4 linked regions of the Saccharomyces cerevisiae S288C genome follow. Changing the gene in region 4 together with the main gene of any one other region gives a genetic interaction. Each region holds a gene or a part of one and is shown on either strand. Other genes may lie near its edges.

The links.
Region 1: mutations in CWC21 (region 4) and TGS1 together harm fitness more than expected from each alone (negative genetic interaction), as found in Saccharomyces cerevisiae (4 studies listed by BioGRID, with this or other methods).
Region 2: mutations in CWC21 (region 4) and IST3 together harm fitness more than expected from each alone (negative genetic interaction), as found in Saccharomyces cerevisiae (5 studies listed by BioGRID, with this or other methods).
Region 3: mutations in CWC21 (region 4) and ISY1 together harm fitness more than expected from each alone (negative genetic interaction), as found in Saccharomyces cerevisiae (6 studies listed by BioGRID, with this or other methods).

What each region holds. Positions count from the first base shown.
Region 1 is NC_001148.4:253,076-256,281, forward strand, and holds TGS1 (RNA methyltransferase), read left to right. Parts: upstream 1-1,738; coding exon 1,739-2,686; downstream 2,687-3,206. Other genes in the region: AIM44 (Aim44p), read right to left, coding at 1-1,235; pheromone-regulated protein PRM4, read right to left, coding at 2,838-3,206. UniProt on the Saccharomyces cerevisiae protein: Catalyzes the two serial methylation steps for the conversion of the 7-monomethylguanosine (m(7)G) caps of snRNAs and snoRNAs to a 2,2,7-trimethylguanosine (m(2,2,7)G) cap structure.
Region 2 is NC_001141.2:362,917-365,835, forward strand, and holds IST3 (U2 snRNP complex subunit IST3), read left to right. Parts: upstream 1-1,972; coding exon 1,973-2,419; downstream 2,420-2,919. Other genes in the region: AIM21 (Aim21p), read left to right, coding at 1-8; DJP1 (Djp1p), read left to right, coding at 305-1,603; actin cytoskeleton-regulatory complex protein PAN1, read right to left, coding at 2,550-2,919. UniProt on the Saccharomyces cerevisiae protein: Required for pre-mRNA splicing and spliceosome assembly. As part of the pre-mRNA retention and splicing (RES) complex, required for nuclear pre-mRNA retention and efficient splicing. Required for MER1-activated splicing.
Region 3 is NC_001142.9:526,925-529,915, forward strand, and holds ISY1 (Isy1p), read left to right. Parts: upstream 1-1,772; coding exon 1,773-2,480; downstream 2,481-2,991. Other genes in the region: UTR1 (NADH/NAD(+) kinase), read right to left, coding at 1-1,552; OSM1 (fumarate reductase), read left to right, coding at 2,937-2,991. UniProt on the Saccharomyces cerevisiae protein: Involved in pre-mRNA splicing and cell cycle control.
Region 4 is NC_001136.10:1,419,915-1,422,838, reverse strand, and holds CWC21 (U2-type spliceosomal complex subunit CWC21), read left to right. Parts: upstream 1-2,000; coding exon 2,001-2,408; downstream 2,409-2,924. Other genes in the region: VPS52 (Vps52p), read right to left, coding at 1-76; alpha-1,2-mannosyltransferase KRE2, read right to left, coding at 354-1,682; alkaline phosphatase PHO8, read left to right, coding at 2,589-2,924. UniProt on the Saccharomyces cerevisiae protein: Involved in pre-mRNA splicing. May function at or prior to the first catalytic step of splicing at the catalytic center of the spliceosome, together with ISY1. May do so by stabilizing the catalytic center or the position of the RNA substrate.

The sequences.
Region 1 (3,206 bases), on a different chromosome or scaffold from region 4:
TAGCTTACCAAAGGGCTCCTTGGGGTGTTTGATCCAACTTTGGAATCTTCAGATTGGGGATGGTTTGCTTTAAATTTCGTATCAACTGTCAAAGGTTTAGTCTTTTTTTGTGGAGCCAATACAGGTACTAAAGATTTTGATGAGATCGACCGTTGTAAATTAGAGACGTATCTCTGCGATTTTTTTTGACGCGGAGTAGAGTTGCTGTTTTTGTTGACTAGGTTCGTCCCTCTTTTTTTTGACTTGTTGTTAATGTTTGCTTTAGATTTAGTGGTTTTGGAATTCGTGGCGGAGGGGACCTTTTGAACATTATATGAAAACAGTCTTCTTCTTAAAACTAGCCGTAATTTCCGTAACTTTTTCTTTATCTTGATTCCCAATGAGGTGAAATAATATAAGAGTCCGCCCTTACATCTAATAGCTTTTGATCGTTTTAGAGAACAACGACTGCTACTTGATTTACTGCTGACACTTGAACTATACCTGGAATTGGAAAACCTCGAGGATTCAACTCGTCTTATGGTCGGAACTCTGTTTAGCTTTTTTTTAGGTTTCGGTACTACGCTATTGTTTAATTCGATAGTTTTTATATCCTTTTCCATATTTAATTTGGTCATCGGTTTGGCTTCTTGGGTCGACGGCAGAATGGCGCTTTTAGATGTCGATTTCCTTGGTAATAACGATGATGCTGATGACGGCGCGATATCGTAGGAAACATTATCTGCTGTTGGGATAGTCTGGAATGCCGTTGAGATTGAGCCAGTTATGTTTCCCTCTGGAATAGCTTCCATTGAATGTAACTGGTTTTTAACTACATTTGAGCTGCTATAATGAAGAGAGTCATTTCCTGGGAAGTCATGAGAAGCAAAAAAGTCACTTTTGTTCGAGTCTGAGGAAGTTAATCTAGCGGTTTCATTTTGATTGATTACAATACGTGGTGAAGACGTAGTATTGTCAGAAATGTTAGCAAATGAATAGTATCCATTTGATGAATAACCGGAATTTGTATTTGTATTGGAAGTGGATGTATAGTCTGATAATGTTTGAGAGTTTCCGTCTTCATCGCGAGAAACTCCATTTTCTGCTGCAAACACATCATTTAAAAGATGATGATTATTCAAATGGTACTCTTCTAGCGTTCCTCTTGGTAAACTTTCGTTAGACGGGAATTTAAAATCCATTTGATCGCCTCTAAACGACTTGGTTTTTGTCCTTATTGGAGCTCTGATGATCATTCCGTATGATATATTTGTTGTGATAATAAGCCAAATTTATTTGAGCACTATTGTTAAGTTAATTGTTCTTGTTTTACTTGTTAAGCCGTTAAGTTGTCAACCGAATTATCAAGCACTTAAATCTATATATACAACATATTTGTACAAGAATTGATGACCTGCTGAAAGCCCAGCAATCTGGTTATCCCAGTTGAACATGTTTAAGGATAGGCATATCGACTTCTTTATCTTACTAACCGAAATATTGAATTGCCTGTGTAATGAATGGCTGGAGCAGCCTTTTTTTTATCTTCGCCAGCCATCGCTTTTTTTGAATATTTTCCACATGAAAACAATGTATGAAAAATTCTAAGGCATCGCACCAAACTATATGAAGGGGAAGTGAGTTATTCCGCAAACAGCGAGTAAGTTTTTCGTTGTATTGATTGCCCATATTATATACCGTGTTGTGGGGGCAACAGACAGAAGTAGAAGAAAAAATTTTTGTTGATTTAACTGAAGTGATGGGAAGGACATTTATTCATGCTTCGAAAATAAAACATGCGGCACGCAAAAGAAAACATCATTCCAACTTTAGAACTCTGATCAAATTATTGAACAATGATGCCTATAAGATAGAATCATCAAAACCGTTGAAAAATGGTAAACTTTTCAAATACTGGAAAAATAGGCGTAGATTGTTTTCAAAGATAGATTCGGCGTCGATATATATGACTGATGAGCTGTGGTTCAGTGTGACGCCCGAAAGAATTGCCTGCTTCCTGGCAAATTTTGTTAAGGCATGCATGCCAAATGCCGAAAGAATACTGGATGTTTTCTGTGGTGGGGGCGGGAACACCATACAATTTGCCATGCAATTTCCTTACGTCTATGGAGTGGACTACAGTATTGAACACATATATTGTACTGCGAAAAACGCCCAAAGCTACGGTGTGGACGACAGAATATGGCTGAAGCGGGGATCCTGGAAAAAGCTAGTCTCTAAGCAGAAACTTTCCAAAATAAAGTACGACTGTGTATTTGGATCACCCCCGTGGGGTGGTCCAGAATACTTAAGAAACGATGTGTATGACTTAGAGCAACATCTAAAGCCTATGGGGATTACCAAGATGTTGAAAAGTTTTCTTAAACTAAGCCCTAATGTGATTATGTTTTTGCCAAGGAACTCTGATTTGAACCAGCTTTCTCGAGCTACGAGGAAAGTACTAGGTCCATTTGCCAAATGTAAAGTATTATATGTAAAGGAGAATGGATATATGAAAGGAATATTTTGCATGTGGGGGGAATGCTTTTTTAACTACGAACCAGCAAGTACGGAGAATAGTCGAAGGGAGTCGTCCGAAAAGGAAGAGCTGAGTTCTGAAAACGAAGAGCTCTCGAAAAGAAAAAAGCATGAATCCACAACAACGACCAAAGATAATACTGTAGACATTTACGACGTAAATGGTTAAACACTTGTTCAAGTTGAATCGTATGATAGAAAATGCAATGACTATGTTATGAATGTATATATAGCACATAAAGAGGATCGCTTACGTGAATTTGGGAATAATTAAAACGTTCTTTTAGCTGCGGCTGCTCGTCGATAGGAGTGATAACAAATTAAGAATTAGAAGGGATGTCTTTTTTTTCTACCAGCAAGTTGCCACGCGCTTCAGACTTTAGAAGAGGTAGTAGCAATCCCTTCGAATGAGGTTCGATTATATCTCTCACCATTCCACGATTTATCACGGAAATACCATTCAAAAATAAATAAGGCGACTGAATGGATTCCAAGGCAGCACTAGTATCGATATTTAGTTTATTTTGTTTGATATACTTTTCTAATTCATAGCCATGAGAGTGTTTTTCCAAATCAACAGTGGCCAATTCGGGTGAAATCTCAAATTCTCTTTGTAATAGATTTTTTAAGAAAATGGAGTCTGCTTGTGATGATTTAATGAATAATACCGCTGGAGAGGTTCTTATTAT
Region 2 (2,919 bases), on a different chromosome or scaffold from region 4:
CCCTTTAGAATCTTATAAATAATATGTATGAATAAACTCTATAGTATGTATCAAGAGAGAAATATGTGAATGACGAGCAAACTAGAGGTGTTATTAATAATAATGGCATAAAAACTAGATTTTATTCTATATATATATATATATATTTCTTCGACTTTTTTTTTTTTTACCCGCACACCCTGAATTTTGTGCTATTTTGAAGCAGAGCGTACTGAACAAATTGGCAGATTTACAAGAGGAATAACAGAGTTATGCTAAATCATTAAGTGTTTCTTGCGGCCAGAAGGGGCATTATACAAAAGATATGGTTGTTGATACTGAGTATTACGATTTGTTAGGTGTGTCTACCACTGCATCTTCCATTGAAATAAAAAAGGCCTATAGAAAGAAATCTATTCAAGAGCATCCTGATAAGAATCCCAATGACCCCACGGCTACCGAAAGGTTTCAAGCAATATCCGAAGCTTATCAAGTTTTAGGTGACGATGATCTTCGCGCAAAGTATGATAAGTATGGAAGAAAAGAAGCTATTCCTCAGGGCGGCTTTGAAGATGCAGCTGAACAGTTCTCTGTCATCTTTGGTGGAGATGCGTTTGCCTCATATATTGGCGAACTGATGCTATTAAAGAACCTACAGAAAACTGAGGAGCTAAATGCTGAAGACGAAGCTGAAAAGGAGAAGGAGAATGTGGAAACAATGGAAGAATCACCTGCAGACGGTAAGACGAATGGCACCACTAACGCTGTTGATGCAGCATTGGGCAATACTAACGAAAAAGATGACAAAAATAAGGCGAGGACAACTTCTGGTAATTTAACTGTACACGATGGAAACAAGAAAAATGAGCAGGTAGGAGCAGAAGCTAAGAAGAAGAAGACAAAATTAGAGCAGTTTGAGGAAGAACAAGAGGTAGAAAAGCAAAAAAGAGTAGACCAATTAAGCAAAACATTGATTGAAAGATTATCGATATTAACAGAAAGTGTCTATGATGATGCATGTAAAGATTCCTTTAAAAAAAAGTTCGAAGAGGAAGCCAATCTTTTAAAGATGGAATCATTTGGTCTGGACATATTACACACAATAGGCGACGTTTACTACGAAAAAGCTGAAATTTTTCTTGCATCCCAGAACCTGTTCGGAATGGGTGGTATATTTCATTCTATGAAGGCTAAAGGGGGAGTATTTATGGATACACTAAGAACTGTTTCGGCAGCCATAGACGCTCAGAATACTATGAAGGAGCTTGAAAAAATGAAAGAAGCTAGCACGAATAATGAGCCTTTGTTTGACAAAGACGGAAATGAGCAAATTAAGCCAACCACTGAGGAACTGGCGCAGCAAGAGCAGCTATTGATGGGCAAAGTATTGTCGGCTGCTTGGCATGGTTCTAAATATGAAATAACATCCACTTTACGTGGCGTTTGTAAAAAAGTACTAGAAGATGACTCGGTAAGTAAGAAAACGCTTATCAGAAGAGCTGAAGCAATGAAACTATTGGGTGAAGTCTTTAAGAAAACTTTCAGAACCAAAGTCGAACAAGAAGAGGCACAGATCTTTGAAGAACTTGTAGCAGAAGCTACAAAAAAGAAGAGACATACATGAAGTTAGCAATCATCTCTTGTATATTAAAAATTCAAAAATTCACTTTTTTTTATTATCTGTATTCAATATAATATAATGTATATAAGATCACACTAATACTGATAATTCTATTCTTGAAAGAAAGACAATAGAACAATAAAGAAGTGATTGAACTCAGTGACAATGATAATTTATGTGATAAGGAAGTGGTTATGGCTGGAGAATTATGCCACACTTAAATGATAAGCTCTTTTACCTTTCTGGGTTTAGGAATTTTTTGAGATTAATACAGATAAAAAAAAATAGGCCGAACATTAATTACTCATACAACTCAAAAAGTGCAGCGTGCAATTCTAGATCAAGAACATAGATAATATAAACAAAATAACAATGAACAAAATTCAGCAAATCAACGATAAAGAACTACAAAGTGGAATTCTTAGCCCGCATCAATCATGGCATAATGAATATAAGGATAATGCTTATATATATATCGGAAATCTCAACCGAGAATTAACAGAAGGTGACATATTGACAGTCTTTTCTGAATATGGAGTCCCTGTAGATGTAATTCTTAGCAGGGATGAAAACACAGGAGAATCGCAAGGTTTTGCATATTTGAAATATGAGGATCAACGGTCAACGATTCTAGCAGTCGATAATTTAAATGGATTTAAAATTGGCGGTAGAGCCCTCAAAATTGATCATACTTTTTATAGGCCAAAAAGGAGTTTACAAAAATACTATGAAGCTGTAAAGGAAGAATTGGATCGAGATATAGTTTCGAAGAACAATGCTGAGAAACTCATTTTGGCTAAAAAGGACCAACCAAATTAAATAATTTTTTCTTTCATCGCATATCTTATATTCATATAGCCTAGAAAAAAATAATCAATATCATATTTGTAATTCTACATCCTTTCAGAAATTAGTATACATACGTATCTATAGAAAGCAAATTAAATCTTCATGGAAGGGGTGGGGGTGGAGGAATACCTGCAGGTGGAATTGATGGGATACCTGCAGTAGAAACTGGTTGTGCCCCTTCTTCCTCTTCATCTGTACCAACTGATTCAGGAATCGATAAAACGTCATCATCAGAATCGGATCCATATGCGCCCGTGCCTTTTTCAGCACCATTGTAGTTATCAACGTGAGCGATAATAGGTTCTGAAGTGGAAGCTTGTTGAGTTGGTAAAGGTGGGGGTGGAGGCAAAACGCCTCCAGCTAAAGCTGGGGTGGAAGAACCCGATTTTTGCACGGCAGTAGCTATTGCAGGTGCTGAGGGAATTGGAGGTTCTTGAAAGCCATCAACAGCAGGCAAAGGGGGAGCCAAC
Region 3 (2,991 bases), on a different chromosome or scaffold from region 4:
AAGGCTTTAATTTGCAAGCTTCGCAGTTTACACTCTCATCGTCGCTCTCATCATCGCTTCCGTTGTTGTTTTCCTTAGTAGCGTCTGCTTCCAGAGAGTATTTATCTCTTATTACCTCTAAAGGTTCTGCTTGATTTCTGACTTTGTTCGCCTCATGTGCATATTTTTCTTGGTTCTTTTGGGACAAAATATGCGTAAAGGACTTTTGTTGTTCCCTCACATTCCAGTTTAGTTGTCGACTGATACTGTTAATAAACTCATCGGGCGAGGCTTCCACGGTTGGAAAAGCATATGGGCTGGCGCATATGGTTATAAAATCACCTTTTTGCAATTCAATTCTATCTTTCCCATCAAAAGCCGCCCATGCTGGAGCCCTTGACTTCATCGAGACTTTCACTTTTAAATTTATACTTTCTGGTAAGATGATGGGTCTGAAACTCAATGCATGTGGACAAATGGGTGTTAAAGCGATTGCATTGACGGTTGGGCATACCAATGACCCACCTGCACTCAAAGAATAGGCCGTGGACCCAGTCGGAGTAGCAGCAATCAGTCCGTCCGCCTGCGCAACGGTCATTAATGAGCCGTCACCATACAATTCTAACATGGATAGAAAAGGACTTGGACCACGATCGATGGTCACTTCGTTCAAAATGTGGTGTGTGCTTAGTTTTTCCACCACACATATTTTCTTCCCCGTGTTTGGGTCTACTTCAGGGCGGTGTCTACGATAAATTGTGCACTCCAACCTCAACCGTAAATTTGTCTTGATTTTATGATTCATAATCCGAGGTAAATCCTCCCTGAAATGTTCAAACTTAAAATTTGTTAAAAATCCTAGAGACCCTAATGAAAACGACATAACGGGTGGTACATGTCTCTGAAAAATGGAACTTACAAAAAGAACAGTACCGTCGCCACCCAAAGTCACTACCAAATCGAAGAAAACATCATGTTCCCTGATGAAATCCTTTGTCCAATACTTGATCCTTGATTCTCTACATTTACTATCTTCACATAACTCGCCAGCGGCAAATTTTTTGCTGTTTTTCAATTCGGAATCCACATAAACAGTCACACGTGGAAAATGTACCAAAACCCATTCTACCAACTCTCTTGTTAAGAAATACAGTGAGACATCGTTGAGTTTCGTAACAATCATCAAATTTTCCACATCCAGTTCCACTTTGGTATTAGATATATCTTTACTCAACATTCTTACACCATACGCCGTGGAGGCATACTGAAAGTGTGTATTACTACTCTTAGAACTTCCTCTTGTTCCGTTAATGCTCGTACCACCGCCACTGTTTGCATTGCCGTTCACGAGAGATGAATCTTTATTCAACAGGGAGCTTCTGCGCGAGCTGCTTTCACTTGATATTTTCCTCAACATTTCTTTGGCGTTGTCGATATCCTGAGTTCTATCAATTTGCTCATTGTTCATCATGGCCTTCTTCATCAAGTTATTATTGTTGTTATGATGATCATTTCGACCATCTTCCTCATTTACCCATTTATCTACGCCATTATTCATGTCATTCTCCTTCATCTCAAGAGCTTTTACTCTACTTATTTAGGGAGCCTATTGTATTTTTTTTTGGCTTACGATCACGATGTCAATGATCATTTGCCCTATTATACCTTTTTCTCCGTTCTCTTTGCGTAGTGCGGTGAAATAATTTCAGGATGCATGAAAGAGCAAATAAAAGTGACACACCGTTATATCGCAAGGCGCACCACATCAGTAATCAGATACCTGTGCATTCAAAATGAGTAGAAATGTAGATAAGGCCAACTCAGTTCTGGTACGATTTCAAGAGCAGCAAGCAGAGTCGGCAGGTGGATACAAGGATTATTCACGTTACCAGAGGCCCAGGAACGTGTCTAAGGTAAAATCCATAAAAGAGGCCAACGAATGGAAGCGACAAGTAAGTAAAGAGATAAAACAAAAAAGCACAAGAATATATGATCCGTCTTTAAATGAAATGCAGATTGCGGAACTTAACGACGAACTTAATAATCTTTTCAAAGAATGGAAGAGATGGCAGTGGCACATTGACCATACACTTATGGAAAAAAAAACCAAGAGGAAAAGGTTAGAAGACAGTCATGTGCTGATGAATTCAGGAAAGCTGATAAATGGTAAGAGATATTTTGGAAGAGCCCTGGAATTGCCTGAAGTAAAAGAATGGCTCAAGCAGTCTCAAAGGCAGAATGATGGGGGTTCTATAAACACCAAATGCATACCGAAGGATAGAAATGATTTTTATTACCATGGCAAAGTCACAGCCGCCTTAACCGAATTTGAGGCTAACTGGACATCCATTTTGAAAGCACATTATAATGTGCCTGTGAATGAAGATGAAGAAGAAATGTCAAGGCAGACACAAGAAATCCATGTACCAACTCTGGCAGATATGGAGCATTGGTTAGTGCAAAGAAGAAAAAAGAAACTAATGGATGAACTTAACCTTTAGCTATGGAAAATTATTCAAACATTTAGAAGAGGCACTATTTCGAATGACCATCACAAGCATTATAATCTTCAAACATGTCCGAGCTGCAGATATGAAGTAAAATAGTGATCGGGACTCATTTTTTTTTCTTCTATGATATCATATTGTCCCGTTCGTTATTAAATGTAATTCTTCCACCGTACTAGTTATCGAAGGCAAGATCTCCTTTTTACGCTTAGGTAGATTACATAGATTTCATAATGTACACCAATACAAATGTATCTTATACACTCGTCAAATCTTATATGAATCATGCAGGAGTAGCTCTCGTTTTCTTTTTACGAGCTACTTGAAAAAAAAAAACTAGCGAAAATCCTTTGCTTAGAAATCCAGATTTAAAACAAAACCGCCGAAAAGGGAAAGATTTTATGATAGGAAATACCTTAATAATTCTATATCATCCCGAGTCTTAGGAAAATGATTAGATCTGTGAGAAGGGTTTTCATTTACGTCTCAATATTCGTATTGATAA
Region 4 (2,924 bases):
TTTTATCTCGGCTCGTTTCCTTCAGCTGGTCAAATTTATCTTGGTCTAGTGACAACACCTCTTTGAGAACATCCATAGTTCTATGTCTTCAGCTAATTTTTTTACGCTTTTGTTGCTTATAGCTTATTCCTCTTTCCTCTCACTTGTAAAAACTCTTGATATACCTTATATTTTTTCGAACTATTCTCGGAATACGCTAATGAGAATAAAAATATTCGAATCTTTAAAAAAAATGTGGATTGCCTCACTTATATGTTTGATACGCAGTCCTATGTGTACTTAACCAGTTATAAAAATAAAATATAAATAGAAAGTATAAAGTCAAAACAAAGAAACAGTATGTTCCAAGATTTCTACTCACGGAATTTTTTCCAGTTTTTTGGCTTTACCAACCCTTGAGCATCATAATATTCCTTACCACAAGAGTAACCTTGGAAAGTGAAATCATTACCTTGGTCACATTCACAGTTGTTACTGTTATAGACCTCCTTGTCCAATGGGCAGTTATCATAAGGTGGATGATGGTAACCAATGTCTGAAAAATAATGGATTTTATCCTTTGGCAAAAACAAAGCAGCAGCAATAGAATGAACGGGAGCATCGCCCCATCTTTCGTAGAAAAATCCACCTTGATGATCCAAAGTGTCAAAATACTCTCTGTAGGCTGGTGACCTCCACAAATTCAAGTTTGCAATTTCAAAGTTTGACCAGAAATGGCACAGATTGTATGTTTTACCATTATCGTTCGAAAGAAAACTCATCAGGTTGTTTTCATCTAAGTATTCGGGGTTCTTTTTGATGAAATCCATGGACGTTTGCCATAGTGTTGGGATCGTCACTTCATATTCATGAATAGAAACGGTAAAGCCGTAAACTTTTTCGTTTTCTTGCATCCACTTAAAAACGTCGTAATTAATATCACAGTATAACTTGATGTCTGGTTCCACACGCCAGTACCAATCGTACTCTTCTAATAATTCATGTCTCCAGAAAAACCCAGATTGGTAACGACACATGTGTCTATAAGATTCGGAGCCACCGTATATGTATTTGGTGGCAGCATCTGCACGAATTTCAGCAGCCTTGGTTTGATTAATCCATTCAGGATATGACCAATGTTCCTTGGGCAAAATACCAAACTTAACTTCGGAAGAAACAGCTTTGGTGACTGCTTCCTTGAATTCTTCAGTAAAAGGTTCATCGTTTAGGAAAACCCAAGGATATGGGAATTTCTTGTTAATTTTGTTTTCCACATATTTAATGGAGCTTAGCAAACCTTTCAACTCCTTGTTTCTCACCAAAGTGACGTAACAAGCTTTTGGCTTACCAGCTTTGTTAGCAAAAGATGGAGTGATATAATCCATGGTTGTTTTAGTGTCGATCGGGGCATCTGCCTTTTCAGCGGCAGCTTTCAGAGCCTTGGATTCTTCATCCATGGCTTCGGAGTCTTCGCTTGCCTCTGAATTCAGAGCACTTTGCTCTAATTTTTTAGCATCATTTTCCTCAGAGATGACTTGTTGTTCAGGGGATATAGATCCTGAGGTAAAATCAAATGCAGCGGAGATGGAACTCGGAATATATTGCTGAGTTCTACTGTTGGAATTCAATGTTAGGAGGAGAACAATAACCGCACCTGCAATGACGGTAAATCTCAACAGTCTCTTACTGAGAAAGAGGGCCATGCTTTCGAGTGGAACTGCTTGCGAATATGGATATCACTTCCAGTATTATAGATTCATAAAATGTATAAACGAATTAAATCGCAAATTATCTCCTTTTCAGACTGTTTCTTCACCAAATTTCTTTTTTTTTTCCTACTAGAAGAAGGCGTAGCAGATAAGAAGGAAAAATTATATTAAGCGTGCGGGTAAAGGCAAGGAAGAATCAAGTAAGACCTCAAGAATGGCACTATAAGTGTGGTATTATAATCTGTGTAATCCTAATTTGAGCTCTACACAATACCATTCGACGGTTAACAGCTACTGCATCACCGTCCAGTCATGTCGTACAACGGAATAGGGCTCAAGTCGGCAAAAGGGTCATCTACGTCGGGCCACGTGCAGCGATCACTTGCTAGCAACAATAGGCGCAGACCACAGGGTAGTCAACAGCAGCGGCAACAACGACAAAATGCGATCAAAAAGGCCAGCCATGACAAGGCAAGCAGGCCTCTTGCTGTGCAGAAACAGATAGAGACTCATATGGAGAAACGTGAGATTGAAGTACAAGTTAGCGAGCTACGGGACCGACTGGAGGAGGAAGAAACGCTCTCGGAAGAGCAGATTGACAAGAAATGTGAAGCGTTGAGGGCAAAACTGACGAACGAGTGGCAAGAACAGCAGCGGATGTCCTCTTTGTACACCCCTCGTAAGGCGCGTCTAACGGAAGAGCAGCATCGACATGAATAGCAGCATTGACGATAGCGATAAGCTTCGCGCGTAGAGGAAAAGTAAAGGGATTTTAGTATATAAAGAAAGAAGTGTATCTAAACGTTTATATTTTTTCGTGCTCCACATTTTGCCAGCAAGTGGCTACATAAACATTTACATATCAGCATACGGGACATTATTTGAACGCGCATTAGCAGCATGATGACTCACACATTACCAAGCGAACAGACACGTCTTGTTCCTGGATCTGACTCGAGCTCTCGTCCTAAAAAGAGACGGATCTCGAAGAGATCAAAGATAATAGTATCCACTGTGGTCTGTATTGGTTTGTTGCTGGTTTTAGTGCAACTGGCATTTCCAAGCAGTTTTGCATTACGTTCTGCATCACACAAGAAGAAGAATGTCATATTCTTCGTGACGGATGGGATGGGACCTGCGTCTTTGTCCATGGCAAGATCATTCAACCAGCATGTTAATGATTTACCTATAGACGACATCCTGACACTTGACGAGCATTTTATCGGGTCTTCGAGA